Linked DNA regions of Lonchura striata. The protein of the gene in region 1 binds, or shares a complex with, the protein of each later gene. Links are inferred from orthologs where the notes say so. Each region holds a gene or a part of one and is shown in the gene's direction. Other genes may lie near its edges.

What was found.
Region 2: the proteins of GABBR2 (region 1) and KCTD16 are in contact, whole or in part, in a crystal structure (PDB 6M8R), measured with the Homo sapiens proteins. The link is inferred for Lonchura striata from reciprocal best matches to the Homo sapiens genes GABBR2 and KCTD16. Residues at the interface, in NP_005449.5 of Homo sapiens: Ile882, Asn883, Ile888, Gln889, Arg891, Leu892, Ser893, Leu894, Gln895, Leu896, Pro897, Ile898, Leu899; in NP_001357415.1 of Homo sapiens: Asn30, Gly32, Gly33, Gln34, Val35, Tyr36, Asp64, Leu65, Ala66, Lys67, Asp68, Ser69, Arg72, Phe74, Gly79, Phe80, Arg83.

What each region holds. Positions count from the first base shown.
Region 1 is NC_134603.1:62,278,738-62,288,214, reverse strand, and holds the start of GABBR2 (gamma-aminobutyric acid type B receptor subunit 2), read left to right. Parts: upstream 1-5,693; 5' UTR 5,694-5,716; coding exon 5,717-5,787; intron 5,788-6,589; coding exon 6,590-6,899; intron 6,900-9,477. UniProt on the Homo sapiens protein: Component of a heterodimeric G-protein coupled receptor for GABA, formed by GABBR1 and GABBR2. Within the heterodimeric GABA receptor, only GABBR1 seems to bind agonists, while GABBR2 mediates coupling to G proteins.
Region 2 is NC_134617.1:727,657-737,444, reverse strand, and holds the start of KCTD16 (BTB/POZ domain-containing protein KCTD16), read left to right. Parts: upstream 1-5,730; 5' UTR 5,731-5,837; intron 5,838-6,475; exon of another isoform or gene 6,476-6,885; intron 6,886-7,157; 5' UTR 7,158-7,475; coding exon 7,476-8,307; intron 8,308-9,788. UniProt on the Homo sapiens protein: Auxiliary subunit of GABA-B receptors that determine the pharmacology and kinetics of the receptor response. Increases agonist potency and markedly alter the G-protein signaling of the receptors by accelerating onset and promoting desensitization.

The sequences.
Region 1 (9,477 bases):
TGATAGCCTTTTCTTCTTCTCAGCTCACTGGAGTTGTATTAATGCCTGGCTTCAGGTTTGGAGGGTGAAAGATTCCATCAAGCATCTGAGTCATGAAGCACATCTTCAGACTTCCTTTAACATTTCCAGACTTCCTTTTGCAGGAGGTCAGGGTTACCTGCCGAGGAATGGACTGTGAGCTTCGGACTTCTCCTGAGCAGAGATGGGGCTGCATGTCTTATAGAAATGGAAAAATTGGAGGATTTCAGTCACAAATTAATGCTTGTTTCTTAGTCCTTCTATGCCTGTATTTATGTTTTTTTTTGTTTTTTTTTTCTTTTCTTAGAAAGCCATCCAGACTATAGACAGGTACCTAATTATCATATTTATTTGAAATTATTGGGTAATGATTTAGATTTTTTTTTCATTTATTCACTCACTAATTTCCTTTCATTTAAAAATTATGAGTCTTCAACATGGGCTAAAACTTACTGGATTTTCACTTCAACAAAAGACAGTACATGAACCTTCCTTCTAAGAAATTAACCACTAAAACCTCTGTATGTGTGGCCTTGTCTGAACCATTATGTTGGGGAATTACTAGAGCTTGCACAAATACCTGGGAACAACAATCATCATTGTACATGCATCAGTCAACATAAATTGGAAATAGTATTTCTTGCTGGCTCTGTTGAAAACAGAGACTCAAAACTGTGTTCAATTTTTGATATATTTATAGGAAGTGGTAAGATACACTGCAAGGGGAAATTCATGTTGGATGATAACACCAGGACTGATGAGATTGTGCTCCTATTTCCTATTTATAAAAACATCGGCACTTACACAGTGATAGTGCTTGGTTGGTAATTTAAAATCTGATGCTCTTTTAACTTCATTTGCCTCTCTTAAGGCCCTTAGATTTGGAGATTAAGTAAGCTGAGCTGTGTCCTGACACCCTGATATAAAGACAGCAATCAAGGTGTCTGGAGAGGCTGTAGGGTAAGGATCATGCAGTTGTGTGTATACTCTTGCAGCTGTGGAGGGTTTTTGGTGGTGTTTGAGAATGCTGTATGCTCTTGTAACAAATATGGAACTTTGGGCTAGGAAGTTAGCTGAGGTAGGTGGGAAAGCCCTTGGGAGGGAGGGAAAAGGTGGATGGGAAAGCTCCCCCTGTTCTGCTGAGGTGCAAGAGCACTGCAGTATTGTTACATTTCTCATTTACAGAGGAAAAACATTATGCCTGTACATGCAGTGCTAAAATTAATATGCCTAGATTAACAGTTTTCATTTTTTTAAATTCCACAATTCACTGATATTTTTATGAACAGACAAAGCCTAATTAGACCAGTCCCTGTCAGCACTGACAGGAATTGCATGGCTCCAGGATTTGCAAAGGTGGCTGGAGACAAAAACAGGGCAGGACTTTCTCAGTGATCTCTCCAAAAGTATTAAGATGAATATACAGGAAAATACATACAGGAAGTGAGTTGCTGGCCTAAGGGGCTGCATGACATATTTTGTGTAGCATCAAACCATCTCCCAGAGTAGGAGAGGACTTGCAACAGATGCAATTTATTTATTAGTGTTAATGGAAAATCAGTTCTCTGAGTTTCTTGACTTTATCCATGGTCTGAAGATACTTGCAACTGAAGAAGTGGTCAAGGGAGTCATACTAGTACAGATGCTTAAATGTGAAGTTAATTAGGTACTCTGATGAGCAAATATAAATATATAAAGAAAAAATTGTTAATTGTGCATAGGCTGTGAGAAGACTTAGAAGTAACTGAGAAATTGGAAGTGTTCATTAGCGGAAAGATATTTGACAGTGTTTTTACAGAAATATGGTTGAAGGATTCACATGATTGAAGCACAGAAATGGCTGGGTAACATGCCAGGAAGAAAGTGACATTTGATTTTCGAGTGAAGAGGTTTTACAGTTCTTGTGAACTGATATTTTAATCAACAAGGAATAAACAGAGGGTGTCTGATGTGGACCACCAAATGAGAATATAATGCCTTTTTGCCTAACAGATAAAGAATGTGTGCTGCTTCAGAGGATTTCATCCTAGGGAATTTATTTTACCAGTTCGATGGTAGCAAAACGTTCTGGGTATTTCTAAGAGGGAAAAAAAAGGCAGCTGAGCCAGTGCCTGTGTCTGACACAATATTTAATAAGCATTTTGGAGCAATTCTCCTTTAGGCCTACTTTTATTTAAAATGAGCTGTTACCTGGGCATCTGTTATTCATAAATGCAGCATAGTACCTAAGAAAGAAGAAATTTCTCAGTGCTGAGAATTGGAAAGAAGCAGGCTTTACAAAATATAACTGTAGCAGAGAATCATGCTGAAAACATATGTGAAGAATGTGAAACTTCCTTGCAAATTACTTAGGTGCCAGAAATAAAGGTTTTTGTGAAATCAGAAGTTGGCTTCAGTGTGTCTATTACACTATGATTTTTAATTACATTATTTTCTTACAATACATCCACTGTTTTTGTGGGGGGAATGGGAGGTGCTTGGGGTTTTTTGTTTGTTTTTGTTTGTTTTTGTTGGGGGGTTTTGATGCTTTTTACAAAAGGTGGAGAAACTGTCATTTTCATGCCTCACTGATACACAGGAAGAATTTTGAGAGGCTTACTTTAACTAATCCTCATTGTTCAATATAGTCTTATTTGCATTCCCATAACCAATCCCTAAACTGAAAAATAAAAGTTATTTTCTTAGTGTGAGGGTTTTTTTTGTTTGTTTGTTTTTGTTTTGTTTTATCTTTTTTTTACCATTAACGAAGAGCATCCTGTTTTACTGACAGGGAATGCAGCAACAAACAGATTAAAGTCAGAAGAACCACTTTGTTAAATACTGTAATTTGAAGTGCAGCTTTGCTTGGTTTAAACGATATCCAGCCATACTCCAGACCTCTGCAGACCTCTCCTAGATGCATTTCTTTGCCCTACCTCTCCAGCACTGGCCTTCCCTGTGCACTGCAGGGACACCAGTGTCAGCTGGTCTCTGCCTCCCACATGAGGGCAAACCTTGAACTTCACACTCAGTGAAGTTTCTGACCTGTACTGGGAAAAGCAAGGAGATGCATTTCAATCTTCAGCTAACAAAAGGACATTTGCTACTGCAGCAGTAGTAAAGAAGGATGTCAGGTGGTTGCTAATAATGTCCAAGGTACTAATTCTGTTGTAACACACAACCTGGCCTCAAGCTTTCTTTCATAAAGACTGAGTTCTCAAAAAGAGAAATTGCTTCCAAAACAACCCCAGCTCTTGGAAAGATGATGACAGTCCAGAGACAATGTGAGTGTGTGTGCTAATAAACTGCCAATATTGTAAAATGATCAAATTGATCCAAGTAGCTGTAGTACTGGTAGCCAAGTACTGGTGAAAATCACAGAATGATACAGTATACAAGCAGTGAAGAAAGATTTTCTGTGAAACTAATTTTGACAAACTTGCATAGCAAGTTGAGAATGGCAAAACATCATTTCGCATATGATATTCTGGTTAAAAATAGCATTACACAAAATCAATATGGCACCTATTTCTGTTGGCATCCTAGGAATGTTCTTGGTGTTATGATAATCAATTTTCTGGAAGAAAATGAGTTGCTGGAAAGTTTGCAGGTGACAAACTGCTGGCCAAATCACTTGTACAAGTAAAGGTCATGGTTTGATTTATTCTAGTGCAAAACCAAATGCACAGGAGTAAGGAGGTAGGTGATGCTTTTAGGCAGTGCCAGCAGGAATTGGGGGCAGAGGGGGCAAGAGCTGGATGTTCGTCTGGCTCTGGTCCAGGGGGTTTTCCAGATGCCTTCTGTCCCACCTGGGTCACCAGAAACTGATGTCTTTGAAGGCTGACCTGGAACAGAGACTAGAGAGAGTTAAATAATAAAGTAGGTATTTATTAGAAGGTCTCAATAGATACACCTTGGGCAGTACAAGAGCCCAGCCAGGGCTACACCCAAGATGAACCAAAATGATCACACAATGGATGTCTCTCACTTTTATAAATTCGGATCCATTATCTTATTGGAGTTTATTGTCCAATTACGGCTTTAGATTACGAAGTCATATCCTTCTTGTTTTTCTCTCTTCAGTCCACTGTTGTTTATGCTTTTGGGACTGAAATTTGGATCATTTGTCCTTGGTCCCCAGAGAGAAAAGGATTATTTTTTTTTACCTACTCTGAGGAGAGCTTACTATTCCCCAATATGAAGCTCAGAACTACACACTAAAGCAGTACAAAATCTGGAAAATACAAAAGCTAAAATCTGAGGCATCAAAAACATGGTGCAGATGATTTCATAAAGAGACATTCCTACAAGGACAACACACTACCTGGTCTTCCTGTAGGGATTAGGTTTCTCAATCTGCCAACCTGCCCAGCCTATGGAACCGGCTGGTACTGAGGGAGGTGCTGAGGTTGCAGCTTCTGGCCCAGTGCAGGCAGGTCACAGGGTTAGAAGGGCCAGTTCAACATCATGTGGAAAAAGGAGAGGTGCATTGGAAGTGCCTCCAGGAATGATTCTTGAGGTGAGGGAAAGTTGGCCTTGTTTTTTACAAAAGCAAGATGTGATTAATCTTAGCCCCTGTGGGTGGGAGAAGATCCCTGACACTACATTCCCTTAAGCCAATAAAGGTATGATGAGAACTGGTGGCTGGAAGTTGGAATAAGACAAATTGATACGGAATATGAAATACACCTTTTAGCAAACTAATTAATAATTGAAATGATTTATCAAGAGAAGTGATGGACTCTTCATTACTGATATCTTAAAGTCAACACTGCTGGATGTCATTCTGCGTGAAAGGCTGTAACGCAACAAATGTTATGAAATTACTGGTTGAGGGCTTTTGGCCCAAGGTCAAATCTTACAATCTTAGAATATATTAATCCATGAAAATTCTTTCCAATTTATTGCAGACATGCTGCCATTGCAGTGTAACATAAACTAGATGTATTAGGTTGATCTTCAAAGGCTTGCTTGGAGTGACCTCAGGAAATTTATGAATATGTATAAAAAGTGAGGTGCCTAAGGCAGGGTTAAGAAAAGTTTTTCATTTTGCCTGTACCCATACAGGTATGGGATCTACCTGAGATGAAACAGATCTGTGAATTGCTGCTCTGGGACTCTGCAGACCACGGACGTGGGTGGGCAGTGTGAACGTGTTCCCTGGGATGGGAGGATAGCCTGGGAGCAACGCAAAAAGCCATGGGCTGTCTATGGGCTATGCCCCACAGCCACTGTGATGTGGTGACAATTACTTGGGAGAACATGTGTGGAAAGGGCTCGCTTCCCACAGACTATTCACAGGGTTGCGACAGCCCTCGGGGAGGCTCAGAGTCCTGCCGCAACCTTATTTTTTTTTATTTGTTTTTGTTTTTTGTAATTTGAGCAGTGTCAGGGTCTCCAAAAACCCGCCAGTTCTGAGGGGAAAAGAAACCGGTTTAAAAAAAAAAAAAGCCCAAAAAAAACCACCAAAAAAACCCACCAAAACCCCACGACTTCTGCTCTAGCGAAACGCCCCGCTCCTGCGTGCCGCAGAGCTGCCGTGGCCCGGGCTGGCTGCGCGTGTGCGTGTGCGGGGTGCCGAGCCCGAGTGGGAGCGTGTTTGCGTGCCGCGTGTGCGCGGGGGAGGGCGGGGAGAGTGCGCGGAGCCCGCCCGCGCCGGGCCGCCCTGCCAGCGGGCTCCGTGCGTGTGCCGGGCGGGTCGCGCGTGGGGACAGCGCCGATGGGCAGCGGCCGCAGCTCGCACCTCCCCGCGCCCACCCGCGCCCGCCTTGGCAGCTCCACCTGGAGAAGGTGCCCGACCCACAGGCAGCGAACGCTGATGCCGTGAAGAGGGAGCGCGGTCCGGCCCCCGCCGCCGCCGCACACTTTGCGCTGCCCGCGGCCGCGCATCCTGCCCGGCGGCTTTGCCCGACCCGCAGGAAGGGCGCAGGCGGCACCTCGCTCCCGCGGCGGGGGCTGCCCCGGCTCCCGCGGAATGCGGCATTAGCACCCCCGCCCGGCTCGGCACCGCTCCCCTTCTCCGCCTCCCCGGCTCTAGAGGGGGGGCTTTTTCCTCTTCGGCGTTTTCTGCCGGAGCATCCCTTTTTTCCCTTTTCACCCTTTTGGAGGAGGAGGAGGAGGAGGGGGAAGGAAGGAAGTGTTCAATGAGGGCTGCTCGGCTACCCCCCCCGCGCCTGAGAGGTGCTGTCCCTCCCTGAGCGGAGAGGGTGGAGAGCTGCCGAGGAGGCAGAGGCAGGTCCCGCTCCCTTGCTGTGCCGCCGGGGAGAGCGGAGGAGGGTGGTGAGGAGAGTGTCTGTGTGTGCGTGGTGGTGGTTATTTATTTATTTATTGCTCCTGGTGGTTGCAGCTGGCAGACCTGGGAAGGAGTAGGCGCCATTGCCAGAAGGATTATTGCCAGGGGAGGGGAGGGGGGGGGGGGAAGAGAGAGGAGACCCCGAGGCTCCCGAGGAAGAGGAGACAGGCAGATCTTTCCCTCCCGCCTTGGCTTCTGCCGCCGGGGGATGCGCCCAGACTGAGAGGGGCTCGGCTCTCTTCCGCCGCTCAGCCCGTTCCCCCACCCTCAGTCCTCCTCCTCCTCCTCCCCATCCAGCAGCATGCATCCCTCTCCGCGGAGACCGGCCGCTGCCACCTCCAACCCTGCCATGCTACTGCTGCTCCTGTGCCTGGGCTGGGCGCCGCCGGGCTGGGGCTGGTCGCGGGGCAGCTCCCGGGGGACGGCCGGGCTGCCCCCCAACGCCACCACGCCGATCTCCATCATGGGCTTGATGCCGGTCAACCAGTCCGAGGAGGAGAGCAGGATCACCCAGGGAGTGCTACCCGCCGTGTATCTGGCCATGGATCAGATCCGCAACGAATCCCTGCTCAACCCCTATTCCCTGGACCTGCGGGTCTACGACACGGAGGTAGGGACCGCCGCGGGCCCCGCGCCGCCGGGCGCAGGGGGAGGCGCCGCCGCCCAGTCCCGGGGCGCTGCGGGTGCAGGGGCGCAAGGGCAGCGCGGACGCCCGGGCCGGGGCTGCGGCTGCCGGCGGGGCCGTGCGCGCCGCCTCCGAGCCGCCTTGCCCGCCCGGCCCCGCGGGCTGCCGGCAGATGTGCAGGGACCGGCGGCGGAGGGGGAGGACGTGGAGCCGGCGGGCCGAATCCTGCCCGCCCGGTATTACCAGGAGCGGCTGCCCCGGCAGCTGGGGCTCGCCCCACCGCCCCAGAAGCGCCCCTGTCCGGGAGTCGCCTGCAGCGCGGGGGTGGGCCCGGACGGGTGCCCGGGCGGCGGGGGCTCTTGTCGGTGGCGGTGGCTGGGATCCGCTGCCCTTGGCACGCACGTACACCGGTGGGAGGAAAGCTGCCTCGCCCAGCGAAGCCGCGGCCGCATCCCTGTGCCAGCCGCCACCCGCTCAGCAACAGATGCACACCGGGCGCTCCGCTCCCCCGCTCCGCCAACGGGCTCACGCCGCCAGCCCGGCTTATCCCATGCGGCGACGGGACGCGGAGGGCAGCGGTCGCAGCCGTAGCTTGAGGAGGAGGAGGGGAGGCTTCGCAGGGGTTCGCCGAGATTCCCCCCGTCCCTGCCCTCCGGCGGGAGCGGCTGAGCGCTCGTCCGGGGGTGCGTGGCAGGCGGGCGGCGGGGCGCGGAGGCGCTCGCTTCTCGGGAAGAACTAAATTTGCAGTGCCGGTTCCTGCGGAGCGCTGCCAGTGCGGCGGGATGCCTGCCCCCGTTCCGGAGCGCTGCCAGCGGCCGGCCGTCAGCGCTGGGAGAGCGGGGAGCCCTGCTGAGCGAGGAAACACGCTCCCTTTACCTGGGAGCGAGAGGCAGGGAGCGGGGCGAGGGCTTTGTGGAGCTGGTTGCCACTACCGCCCGCCCGCAGCTGCCTTTGGTTTTTGTCACAACTTCAGTACCTGTGTGTTTGCGGAGGATAGGCGCGGGTCCGGTACCGGGGCTCCCCTGAAGATGGCAGTCACTTCTTGTGTAATGCTGGCGGTCGGGGTTCGCTTCCAAGACAACCCCCGGTAAAGCAAGTGACTGCTGAAAATCTTGCCGGCTGTAATTTAAGGAAGCCCCTGTGCTCCCTTTAGGTTTCTCAGGTCCGGGGGGAACAAACTGAGAGCAGCAATGACAGGCTGTACTGTATCGTGACAGTGTTTCCGTCCCTAAAATGACTACCAAAGGCCTCTCCTTCCAGGGTGGCTGCTTTTTATTGACATAAATTTGTCATAGTGTTAAAAAAAACAAAAAACAAAAAACAAAAAAAAACACCAACCACTGAGCAGAAATGCATGGAGGGCAATACTGCTGAAGATGTCACTTAGGAAGGAGCAGGCTGCCATCCTGTTGTGTTGTGTGAACAAGACTAGATACTGACAGGGAATACAGGCAAGATCAACCTAGAGTAGCTGCTTGTTTCTTTAAAAAGATGAATCTCAGGGAACTCTGCAATTGTAATGAAAAGAATTATGGGGGATTTTCTGAATGGCATTACCTGTCTCATAAAGTGAGATGCATGTCAGGAAAAAATTCACAGGTTTCCTAATCCTGTTTTCATTACGTTAATCTATATTAGTTTTTCCTGTGGATAGAATTATTAAAAAAATAGGCATAGGAATTAGAGAAGCCTAGGCAGGATGTCCCTTCTTCTTACAGTAATATCTTAATAAAGAAGGTGCTGCACTTTATTGCAGTCAAAATATTGTGGCACTCTTCATAGAGATTTTGGGTTCTGAACTAGGTAGTTATCATAAAAATATTCAGGAAAAAAATTACCCTATTTGTTCTGGAATGAGTATCAGTTTCTTTAAAATTTTACTGTTAGTACTCCAGGGACATAAGAAATCAGGGTCATGTTGCTACCTTGCTGTGTTGCTTTAAATGCTTTTAAGAAATTAATAAATGCATGGTTATGGAATGCTAATTCAGGTGACCGTACATGTTTAGAGTACAGTTGGGTCATTATTGCATGCTTAATAGTGACAAGTAAATAAGTTAGTGTCCATAAAGAGTGCTAGATTGACTGCACCCAACAGAATGGACGAATGCCTGGAATAGCCATTAAATACCTAATGGCAGCACAAACTTTTTCAGTCGGTTCAGACATTACCCTTTTCCTTCAGTGCACTTACGATAAGCAGGAGGGTAGCTGGCTCATCATGCCCACTTGATTCTCAGCCTATTTTCTGAGACTGCCAATAAATAGCTATGCCTGAAGGGCCTGGATCCTTATCATTGCATAATCAGAGACCAGGGAGTAGTTCTCCCTCTCAGGGCTTCACAGGTGGTGCTTGTGACATTGTTGGCTCTTGAAAGAGAGAATGTAGAGCCTTGAACACATAGGATTTTTTAATAGCTTGAGAAATAATTGTAGTATATTTATAATGCTTAGGAAATGCATGGCAGTGATTTACTAATTCAGGTATTCTCCCTTGTGTCTCCAAAATCCGTCTTTGTTGCAGTCTGATCCTTGTATTGTAATTTTTTGTAATACTTTAAGT
Region 2 (9,788 bases), on another chromosome or scaffold:
CTCCTGGAGCCGAGCCCCAGCCGTGGGGGCACACGAGATTACACAGGCCATGCTCCTGGTTTAAGTATGTGTGTGTTTTTCCTTTTGTGAAAAACGCCAATCGCTTGGTTTTTAAAAATTTTAAAAGTTTAATAATAATAATAAAATGGTTATAAAAACAGTAATACAATTAGAGTAATAAAATTTAGAGTTAGGACAATTACAAGACAATAAAACGCAAAGAGTTTTGGATGTCCGGATGCTCTCGGACACTAAGTCACAAAAAGCATCCCTTGTGAACAAGAGAATCACCCTTAAAACAATACACTTGTTGCATATTCATATATCCTTCATGGTTATGCATACATTCTATTTAAAACAAAAACTCTGTCTTTTGTATGTCAACTATTTCCATTAATCCCCATGGTGTCTTCGAGTCTGAGCAAGGCCTGAAGGAATTAGCTTCTTCTGATAAGAAAGCCATAAATTCCTCCTTTCTGGAAGATTCAGGTATTCCTCGAAGCAAGTATCTCATTCCTAAAAAAAAACCTCCCCCCACATACACAGTCTCTATTTTAACTACTAAAACCTCATTTTAACTACAAAAGCATAACTGATCAATATAACATAATACAAATAGTAGCTATCTGCATAGAGCCATATAATATGCATTTTTCACACTTTGGTTTTTTGAATTCATTTTGGCTCAGGATGCAGTTACAGTAATATTGTTACAAACCTGCATGTGCAATATTGTGCTGGTGAAATGACTGCATTTAAATTGCAGCCCTGTTCCAAGCCTCGCTGCAAAGCAGAGCTGATGGTGCGGAGTCCGTGGCACTGCCGAGAGCAGGCTCTGGAAATGTGTCACTGTAGAGCTGAATGGAGAGTTCCAGCCATGGAAAACAGATCAGTAACTGTGCCGTGAGCTGCTTCCTGCAGATTTGCGCTGCAGGAGAGTTAGTGTTTGGAGGCTGAGGGGGTGCCAGCGTTCATGCAAGACCTGCACGATGTGCGGGGGCCTCTGATGGCTGCGGCTTAGTGCCCCGGGCTGAGCTGTGCGACTCGCTGCGGCTCACTGGGCAGGGAAATGAGACCCAGCCCAGGCACTGGCCTGTGTAATTGGGACCTGCCGGGGAAACGCTCTTGGCCGAGGAATCTCTCTGGCTTTGCTTAGACTGGTAGGATTTCCTGGCGGCTTAGGTGGAGCTTTCGCTGAGGAGCTGTCCCTGCAGCGGGCATCTCAGCACTGCTGTCGGCACTCAGGATGGGCTGCCAGCCCTGCGGGACAGGCTGCTCTGCACAGCCCGGGGGCTCTAGGGGTGCGCGGGCACTGCAGCTGCACAGCTGCTCCTTCCCAATGCCTTGGGAAGGGCAGTGCATGGACAGCCTGGAGCTGCAGCCTGGAGGCACCAAACACCAAGCACCAAACACCAAACATCAAACACCAAACACCAAGCACCAAGCACCAAACACCAAACACCAAACACCAAACACCAAGCACCAAGCACCAAACACCAAACACCAAACACCAAACACCAAACACCAAGCACCAAGCACCAAACACCAAACACCAAACACCAAACACCAAACTTCAAACACCAAACACCAAACACCAGCACCGTCCCTTTGCTGGGCACCAGCTCCAGCTGCACTGGGGGCTACCACACAGTGCCAGAATCCCACTCTACTTTGGGGTGGAAAGGACCTTAAAACTCATCCCATCCACAGCCCAGATTGCTCCAGGCCCCACCTGGCCTAGAACACCACCTGGACAGGGAATTTGAATTTGCAAGAGACCTTGAAATGGCTGCAACCTGGGAAGAGTAAAAGCACACATTAAAGTACTCGTGTAGTACATGGGTTACACAGTGCTGGTATCATGATAGTGCTACCAAAGTTTGTTTTAGCTGTAATGTTTAAAAACACACTTTAATTACACCAGTGTTGATAACAGAATAATTTGAATCAGACTGAGAATAAAAGTATTATTCAAAGAACTGTGGAGGATGGGGAGGATGGGGAAAGGGGGAGGAGGAAGATGTCTGCTGAAACAGGCCTTCTTATGGCAGAACTCGAAAGGGCCTTGCAGAGGGGAGGCTGAAAACTGTGATTTTTGATTGATTTTAGTCCTTGGTTGCCAATGTGTCCGTGAGGTCTCTGCCTGCCTGCACATGCTGGCTCTCTTGCAGGGTCAGGGCTGTTTGTGTAGCAGATTGCTTTGTTGAACAGTGGCCATGGCATTCCAAAGGAGTTGTCAGCACACATATATCAATTATTCTCCAGAATGTTCCCTGATGTGCAGTGATGGATTTGGAGATCACTGGAACATGATTCCCTCGCACTGTCAGCTTTTGGAAGGCTCAGACCTTGTGCTGTGCGTGTGCTGGGGGTCTGGTGCTCCCCAGAAGGAGCAGAGGGATTCTGAGCAGGAGCTGTGACCCCTCTCTGTGTGGTACACGATGACAAAAAGCCATGTCGTGTCTCCATCTGAGCCTTGCTCCCAGCCTGTCTCACAGCCTGAGCAGCTGGGAAAGCTGCTCTTCCCCTTTGCTTGTTTGGGATGAAAATACATTATGCACTTGAGTTATGAATAAAAGATCAAGGGCAAATCTGTGTAATGCTTTGCTCTGTGAATAAACCCGCCTTCATGGCACTCACGCTCTTTGCTGGAAGATCCTTTCTCAGGGACACTCAGCCATTTAGTGCTGCTTTATGCTTTTTCTTCAAAGTGAAAGATTTGTTAGGGCTTCCCATTCGCACGTACCGCTGGATTTGAGCAGATGAGAATTTCACTGTGTGTAATTCACACTGCTGGATCAGGGGCTAATCTCTGATTTAGCTTGTTCTTGCCTGGCTCTCCTTGCAGGGAGCTCAGTCTCTGGGTGATGGGGAGGATCCTGCCCTGCTGGAGAGGAGCCTGGGTTAGAGGGCTGGAACTCGCAGGAGTCTGGGATGGGTTCCTCCAGGCTCTGTTCTCTGTGTGGCCCGAGGCTGGGCTGGCAGTCCTGTCAGGGAGCTCCAGTGCAGGACACCCTTTCTGCCTCTCGGGGAAACCGCTGGCCCTCTGACAGGCCCAGTGCAGACACTTATTGCTCTGCCATGGCACCATTCTCAGAAACTGCCCTCTTGCCGCTGCCTTGATGGAGTTCTGCCCTGGGAAACGCTGCTGGGCTCAGGGCTCAGACACAGCCTGCTGAGAAGCACAGAATGTTACAGGGAACAGGGCTGAAGGACGGTTCATCCATCCTTAGGTGGCACCTTGAAGTCGTTCCTGAATCAAAGTGCCAGTCTGGAACTGGAAGTGCTGTTCTTCTTTCTTCCTTTTTTATTTTAACTATTGTGTGTAAAGATCACACAGAGTGATGAAAGTTCTCATGTGGCTTTTTAGGTAGAATCTTCTGTCCAAAATCCAGCTTGGATGTATTTTTTCCTCAGAATTACTACTTCAGCTTCTTCTTCTTTCAATTGCTCCTTCTCCAGTCACCCCAAAGCTCTTGTGTTGTTGCTGATAAACAGCTTCCATGTTTCTCACTACGTGTGGGCGACTTGATTGGAATTTCCAGCCTGTGTGTTTCCTCTGGAGATGGGAGGTGATGCACACAAACACACACACACTGCTACTCCAGCCCAGGTACCGCTGCCCTTCCTTTCTAGCACTCATTGCTGCTGCTTTTCCGACACCTATTTCTAACACCCACCACATTCCATAAAGTCACTTGTTCCATGATTTCCTGAAATGCCAATTTAGCACTTTGTCATAAGGAATGACCTCAAACCTGTGAATGATGTCACTGCCTTCATGGACTGGCTTCCAGCACAGCTATGCTGGGACTTTTGGAGCATACACTTTAAGCTCAGGCTAAATTTTCCCTTGCCTGTGCTGGGAGTTATGAAGGCATGTGTCAGAAGTGAGAAGTGCTTCATCCTCCCTTTGATGGATACTGCTTTCCTCTTCCATCAGAACTGTAGCTGCTCCTCGGTGTGGTCCTGACACATATTTTACATTTAGGTCATCATGTATTTAGCCCAGATTTTAAAGTTTCACTCTCTCAGGCTGCATTTTGATGCATTTGGTCCATGGCTTGTATTTAGCTGGGGAGCATTACGTGATGCTTTTACTCCTGAAGTCATCTCATCAAAGGAAATTGTGTTACAGTGAAATGATTGGAATGTCCCCGTGTGAAGAAATAAAAGCAGGTGCTGAATTGCTTTCATTGCTATTTGAAAAGTGCAGTTGCATTTCTAAAGCTGTTGTGATTAAAATTCTATGGTTTTTGTTATTTTCAAAGAGCAATTCTGATGATAATGTTTCAAAAAGACTTCGAGCTTAGAGCTGTCTGTACTGGCTAATCACAGGGAGTCCGTGCCTGATGCTCATTAGAGCTTGCCAGGAGCCCCAGGTGTGGGTGACTCCTGTCCCCTCTCACCGAGCACCTGCACATCCCACTCGAGTGGTGCCCAGCAGCGCCGGGCTCAGCTCCACCCCAGCCTCAGCCTTTGGTGCTGTCACAGGGACATCACAAACGCTTCCGTGCTGGTTTGGACACCGCCAGCTCTTACTGGGGACAGGGAATGCATTCTCCAAGCCCTGCCTTTATGAAAATAGATTTTAATTAGATTGAAACTGCGTATGAACTAGCATGGACAACTGAAATATTTGCGAAAGCTGATGCAATTCTCCCTGCTTTTAACTGGGACAGCACTGTCACTGCCAGAGGCATCTGTCATTCCCTCTGGCTGGTCATGCAGGTGTTAAATCCTGTCTGCACCGACTGCGCCAGGCTCTTAAAAAGGTAATGAAGACATTTAAGTGAACATGATCTCACATGCCACCTTTAAATCCTCTGTGCAGGGGTTATGGAGCACTTGACCTGCGCTGCTTCAGCTGCTCTGCTGAGGCACAAGGGCAGGACACAGGGCTTGGGCTTTTCTGAGGCACAACCAGCACACCCTGTAGTGGCACCAGATTCTGCTGGTTTGAAAATAAGGATCCTGAGGTGAGAGACAGGCTCTGCTCAGGAGTGCAGCAGTTGCTTCAGAATGAATGAATTAAGGTAAAAATCAAGGGTTTGATTAACTGTTCAGTTCTCAGACTTAATTTGAAAAGTCTGTAGGCACATAAGTAGTGATTTTCTGTCTTAGCCTTGAAAATTATTCTTTTTGGCTATTTCGTTTTAAATTACAGCCATGTTTTCAGAAGACTCTCACTGAAGTATCTGCAGCCTCAGCTGGTGCTAATACAGCAAGGTTGTGGATTCAATTCCCGTGTGGATTTACTTAAGAGCTGGGCTCCATGATCCTTGACCCTTCCAACTCAGAATATTCCGTGAATCTGTGAACTTAAGTGCAGTCAGCAAAATCTACCCCTGCATGGTGACTCCATCAGACACAGACTTCACTCTAAAGCTTTCCTAGGGAAAGGCTTTCTTTTCTCCTATGGTACCATTCCGAGAAGAGTGTTTTTGCCCAGAAGCGGTGGGAGCTGGCACGGGGCTGTGCTGCCCCGTTCCCCGGATGCCCGGCAGTGCGGGGTGCTCGGGAGCCGCTCCCGCAGCTCCTCCTCTGGCTTTGGGCCGGGCGGCGGGGACGGACACGAGGTGGCGGTGCCGGCGCGCCCGCGGCTCTCCCCGTTAGAGACCCACGAGTAAAAGCGGGTCCTCCGCACCGCCGGAGCCGCCCCCGGTCCCTCCTCCTCCCTCCCGCGCCCCGCGGGTCCCCTCCCTGCCGGCTCCGGGGAGATGAGGAGCGGCGGCGGCGGGAGCGCGTCCCGGTGCTGCCCGGCAGCCGCGGCCGGGAGTCCCCGGGCAGCGCTGCCCGCCCGCATCGCCGGCGGGGACGCCGCGGAGCCGGGACAGGCACGTTGCGGGCGGGCAGGGGACGGGCGCTGCCGGCCGAGGGACGGAGCGGGAGGGACTGCGGCGCAGCTCGGGCGCTGAGCGGCGGCCGGCCCGGCCCGGCCCGGCCCGGCGAGGCGCTGCCCGCGGTGCTGCCGCTGTCCGCGGTGCTGCCGCGCTGCCCGGCGCTGTGCGCGTCCTGCCGCGCCCGCCTGTGCCCGGCGCCGGCGCTGCCCGGCTCTGCCCGGGGCCGCCCGGGGCCGCTCGGTGCCGCCCGGTACCGGCGCTGCCCGGCTCTGCCCGGTGCCGCCCGGGGCCGCCCGCCTGTGCCCGGCGCCGGCGCTGCCCGGCTCTGCCCGGTGCCGCCCGGGGCCGCCCGCCTGTGCCCGGTACCGGCTCTGCCCGGTGCCGCCCGGTGCCGCCCGCCTGTGCCCGGCGCCGGCGCTGCCCGGCTCTGCCCGGTGCCGCCCGGCGCTGCCCGGTGCCGGCGCGGGACGCGGCGCCCATCCCGGCCCGACTCCTTTAAGATGATGCAATCGGCATCGCGCTCCGCGCCGCCGGCCCCGCGCCGCTGAGCGAGCCCGGAGCGCGCAGCGGGCGGAGCGGAGCGCGGCCCCGGCGCGGCCGCCGCTCCCGCCGGGCCATGGGGGAGCCGCCGCCGCGCTGCCGCCGCGGGAGCCGCCGGAGCCCGGCAGTGCCTAGCGCGGGCTGACGGCTTTCTGCAAGTCATCGGGGCCGGCGGACGCGCCCCGCTGCCCTCCCGCTGCCCCGGCCCGGGGCATCCACTCGGGAATTATTTTATTTATTCTTTTAGTTGTTTGTTTTAATTATTTTCTTCCGCCGTGCTGTATGTACTGCTTTCCTCGTCACTCGCCACAGTTAACTTCCCTGTGACTCGGTTTTACACTCGAGACCTCCGTGGATGCTGCTAAGAGCACTTCTGTTGCCTTTGCTGTCCCTTGCTTGGATCGGATTCACACTACCCGGACCCTGTGTGCCTGTATGTGTGTTCTGAGTGTCTTGACATTTTGGTTTTCTTTACAAGAGCTATGCATGAATTGTTACCAAGGTAAGAGTCCCCGTTCTTGTTCCCTCATGTGCATGTCTAATTTAGATGTTTCTTTAAAGATGAAGTATGAAGTTTCTTTTAAACGGTGGAGTCATATGTAGCCCTTCCATTGATGAATACTTGTGAAATAGAAGCGTAGAACTTGCCAAAAAAAAAGAGACCTATTTAACAGATTTAGCTTGGCTCTACGAGCTGCTCTGCTTTTCTCTGTTGCTGCAGCTGTGATGCTTAGAAGAGTAATTTGAGCCTTGTTTTGTTTTCCCTTTTCACAGACCTGTGAATGACCACAGACTTGGCTTGACCTTGATTTTGATGGCTTTGTTGGAAGAGCTGATGATGTGATTGCATGTCATGAGGTGATTGCTCTCCAGCCTCCAGCCTCCGTGGCTCAGTGTATAAACCACTTCTGCCACACTGTCACTCATGGACTATTCAGATTTTTTTTTTTTTTAACAATCCTTTTGGCTACTTTTGTTTTCTCGCTTCTCGTTTCCCCCTTGTTCCTTCTTAATGTTGGGAGCTTTATTCTAACCTCCGATGTGATTGATTGTCCTGCTTCTCCGTGCTGCTGGTTTCCAGTTTAAACTACAATGGCTCTAAGTGGCAACTGCAGGACTTACCTCCCTGCTCGGGAGCAGGGGACGGGGCTGCACTCCTTCCCCGAGGTGGTGGAGCTCAACGTGGGCGGCCAGGTTTACTTCACTCGCCACTCCACCTTGGTTGGCACCCCTCACTCCCTGCTCTGGAAAATGTTCACCCCAAAGAGAGACACAGCCAACGATCTGGCCAAGGACTCCAAGGGGAGATTCTTCATCGACAGAGATGGTTTCCTTTTCCGCTATATTCTGGACTATCTCAGGGACAAGCAAGTGGTTCTGCCCGACCACTTCCCAGAGAGGGGGAGGCTCAAGAGGGAGGCTGAGTACTTCCAGCTCCCGGACTTGGTCAAGCTCCTGACTCCCGACGACAGCAAGCAAAGCCCCGACGATTATTGCCACAGCGACTACGAAGAGGTGTCCCAGGGCAGTGACACCAGAATATGCCCCCCCTCGTCACTCCTGCCGCCGGACCGCAAGTGGGGATTCATCACCATCGGCTACCGCGGCTCCTGCACCATCGGCAGGGAGAGCCAAGCAGATGCCAAATTCAGGAGGGTCCCGAGGATTTTGGTTTGTGGAAGGATTTCTTTGGTCAAAGAGGTTTTTGGAGAAAGTTTGAATGAAAGCAGAGACCCGGACAGGGCTCCAGAAAGGTACACCTCCAGGTTTTATCTCAAGTTCAAGCACCTGGAGAGGGCTTTTGACATGTTATCCGAGTGTGGATTCCACATGGTGGCCTGTAACTCCTCGGTGACGGCTTCCTTCGTCAACCAGTACACAGACGACAAGGTCTGGTCCAGCTACACGGAATATGTCTTCTACCGTAAGTAGATCCGCGCGGGGGAAGGAGCGCCGGGCTGCGGCCGCCGCGGGAGCGCCCGCCTGGGCCGGGGCTGTGCTCGGAGCCGGGGATCAACCGGGACAATTTCCCCGTTTCCCCGGGAGCTGCGGAGCGAGCGGGGCTGAGCTCGGCGGGCCGGGCCTGGCTAGGTGGCAGCACAGACTGCCGAAAGCGCCGTGCCCGTGCCCGGAGGACGCGGCGCCTCTGGCGCCGTAGATCAGCAGCCGAGCGCCGAGAGCGCTTCCCGGGACGTGCAAACACCGCGAAATTCGTTACCAAATACCTTCAAGTGGGGATTCGCCTTGCAAAGGCAATAGAGGCTCGGTAATCACCAGGCACGGGCAGCCGAGCCATCTGTCAGCAGCCCTGACACGCTTCCACGCGGGGAGGGAGAGCACAATTGCAGCCTCTGGCCGCTGTGCTGGAAGGAGGGCCGCAGCAGAGGGGCAGGGGCCGGGCCGCGTTCCGCAGGCCCCCGTGGAAAGGCAGCGTCCTCCCCGGGAGGGCTGGGCCCCGCTCCCCGCAGGCACAGCCGAGCTGCCCGGAGCTGCCCGGAGCTGCTGCCCAGGGCTCATCCACTGCCGAGTCCCGGGTCATTCACTGCCGAGCCCCGGGTTATTCACTGCAGCACCCCGGGGTCATTCACTGCAGCACCCCGGGGTCATTCACTGCAGCACCCCGGGGTCATTCACTGCAGCACCCCGGGGTCATTCACTGCATCACCCCGGGTCATTCACTGCATCACCCCGGGTCATTCACTGCAGCACCCCGGGGTCATTCACTGCAGCACCCCGGGGTCATTCACTGCAGCACCCCGGGGTCATTCACTGCAGCCCAGGGCTCACCCACTGCAGCACCCCGGGTCATTCACTGCAGCACCCCGGGTCATTCACTGCAGCACCCCGGGTCATCCACTGCATCACCCCGGGGTCATTCACTGCAGCACCCCGGGGTCATCCACTGCATCACCCCGGGTTATTCACTGCAGCACCCCGGGGTCATCCACTGCAGCACCCCGGGGTCATTCACTGCAGCACCCCGGGTCATTCACTGCAGCACCCCGGGGTCATTCACTGCAGCACCCCGGGTCATTCACTGCAGCCCAGGGGTCATTCACTGCAGCACCCCGGGTCATTCACTGCAGCACCCCGGGTCATTCACTGCAGCCCAGGGGTCATTCACTGCAGCACCCCGGGGTCATTCACGGCCGTGCTGCCACCCGGGACCCGCTGGTTACCAATGGTAACACCGGGTAATCCGCATCCCGCGAGCCTGAACCAGAAATCATTCCATGTCTGCCGTGCCGAAACATCCCAGAGCTCCAGGAGGCTCTCGCTTCCATTTTCGTTTGAGGAGGATGAAGGATGGAGCAATCGCCCTGCCCATCAGTGTAGGCAGCTGCTGCTTTGGCTGGTGGCCTTGGGACAGAGGGACAGAGGGACAGAGGGACAGAGGGACAGAGG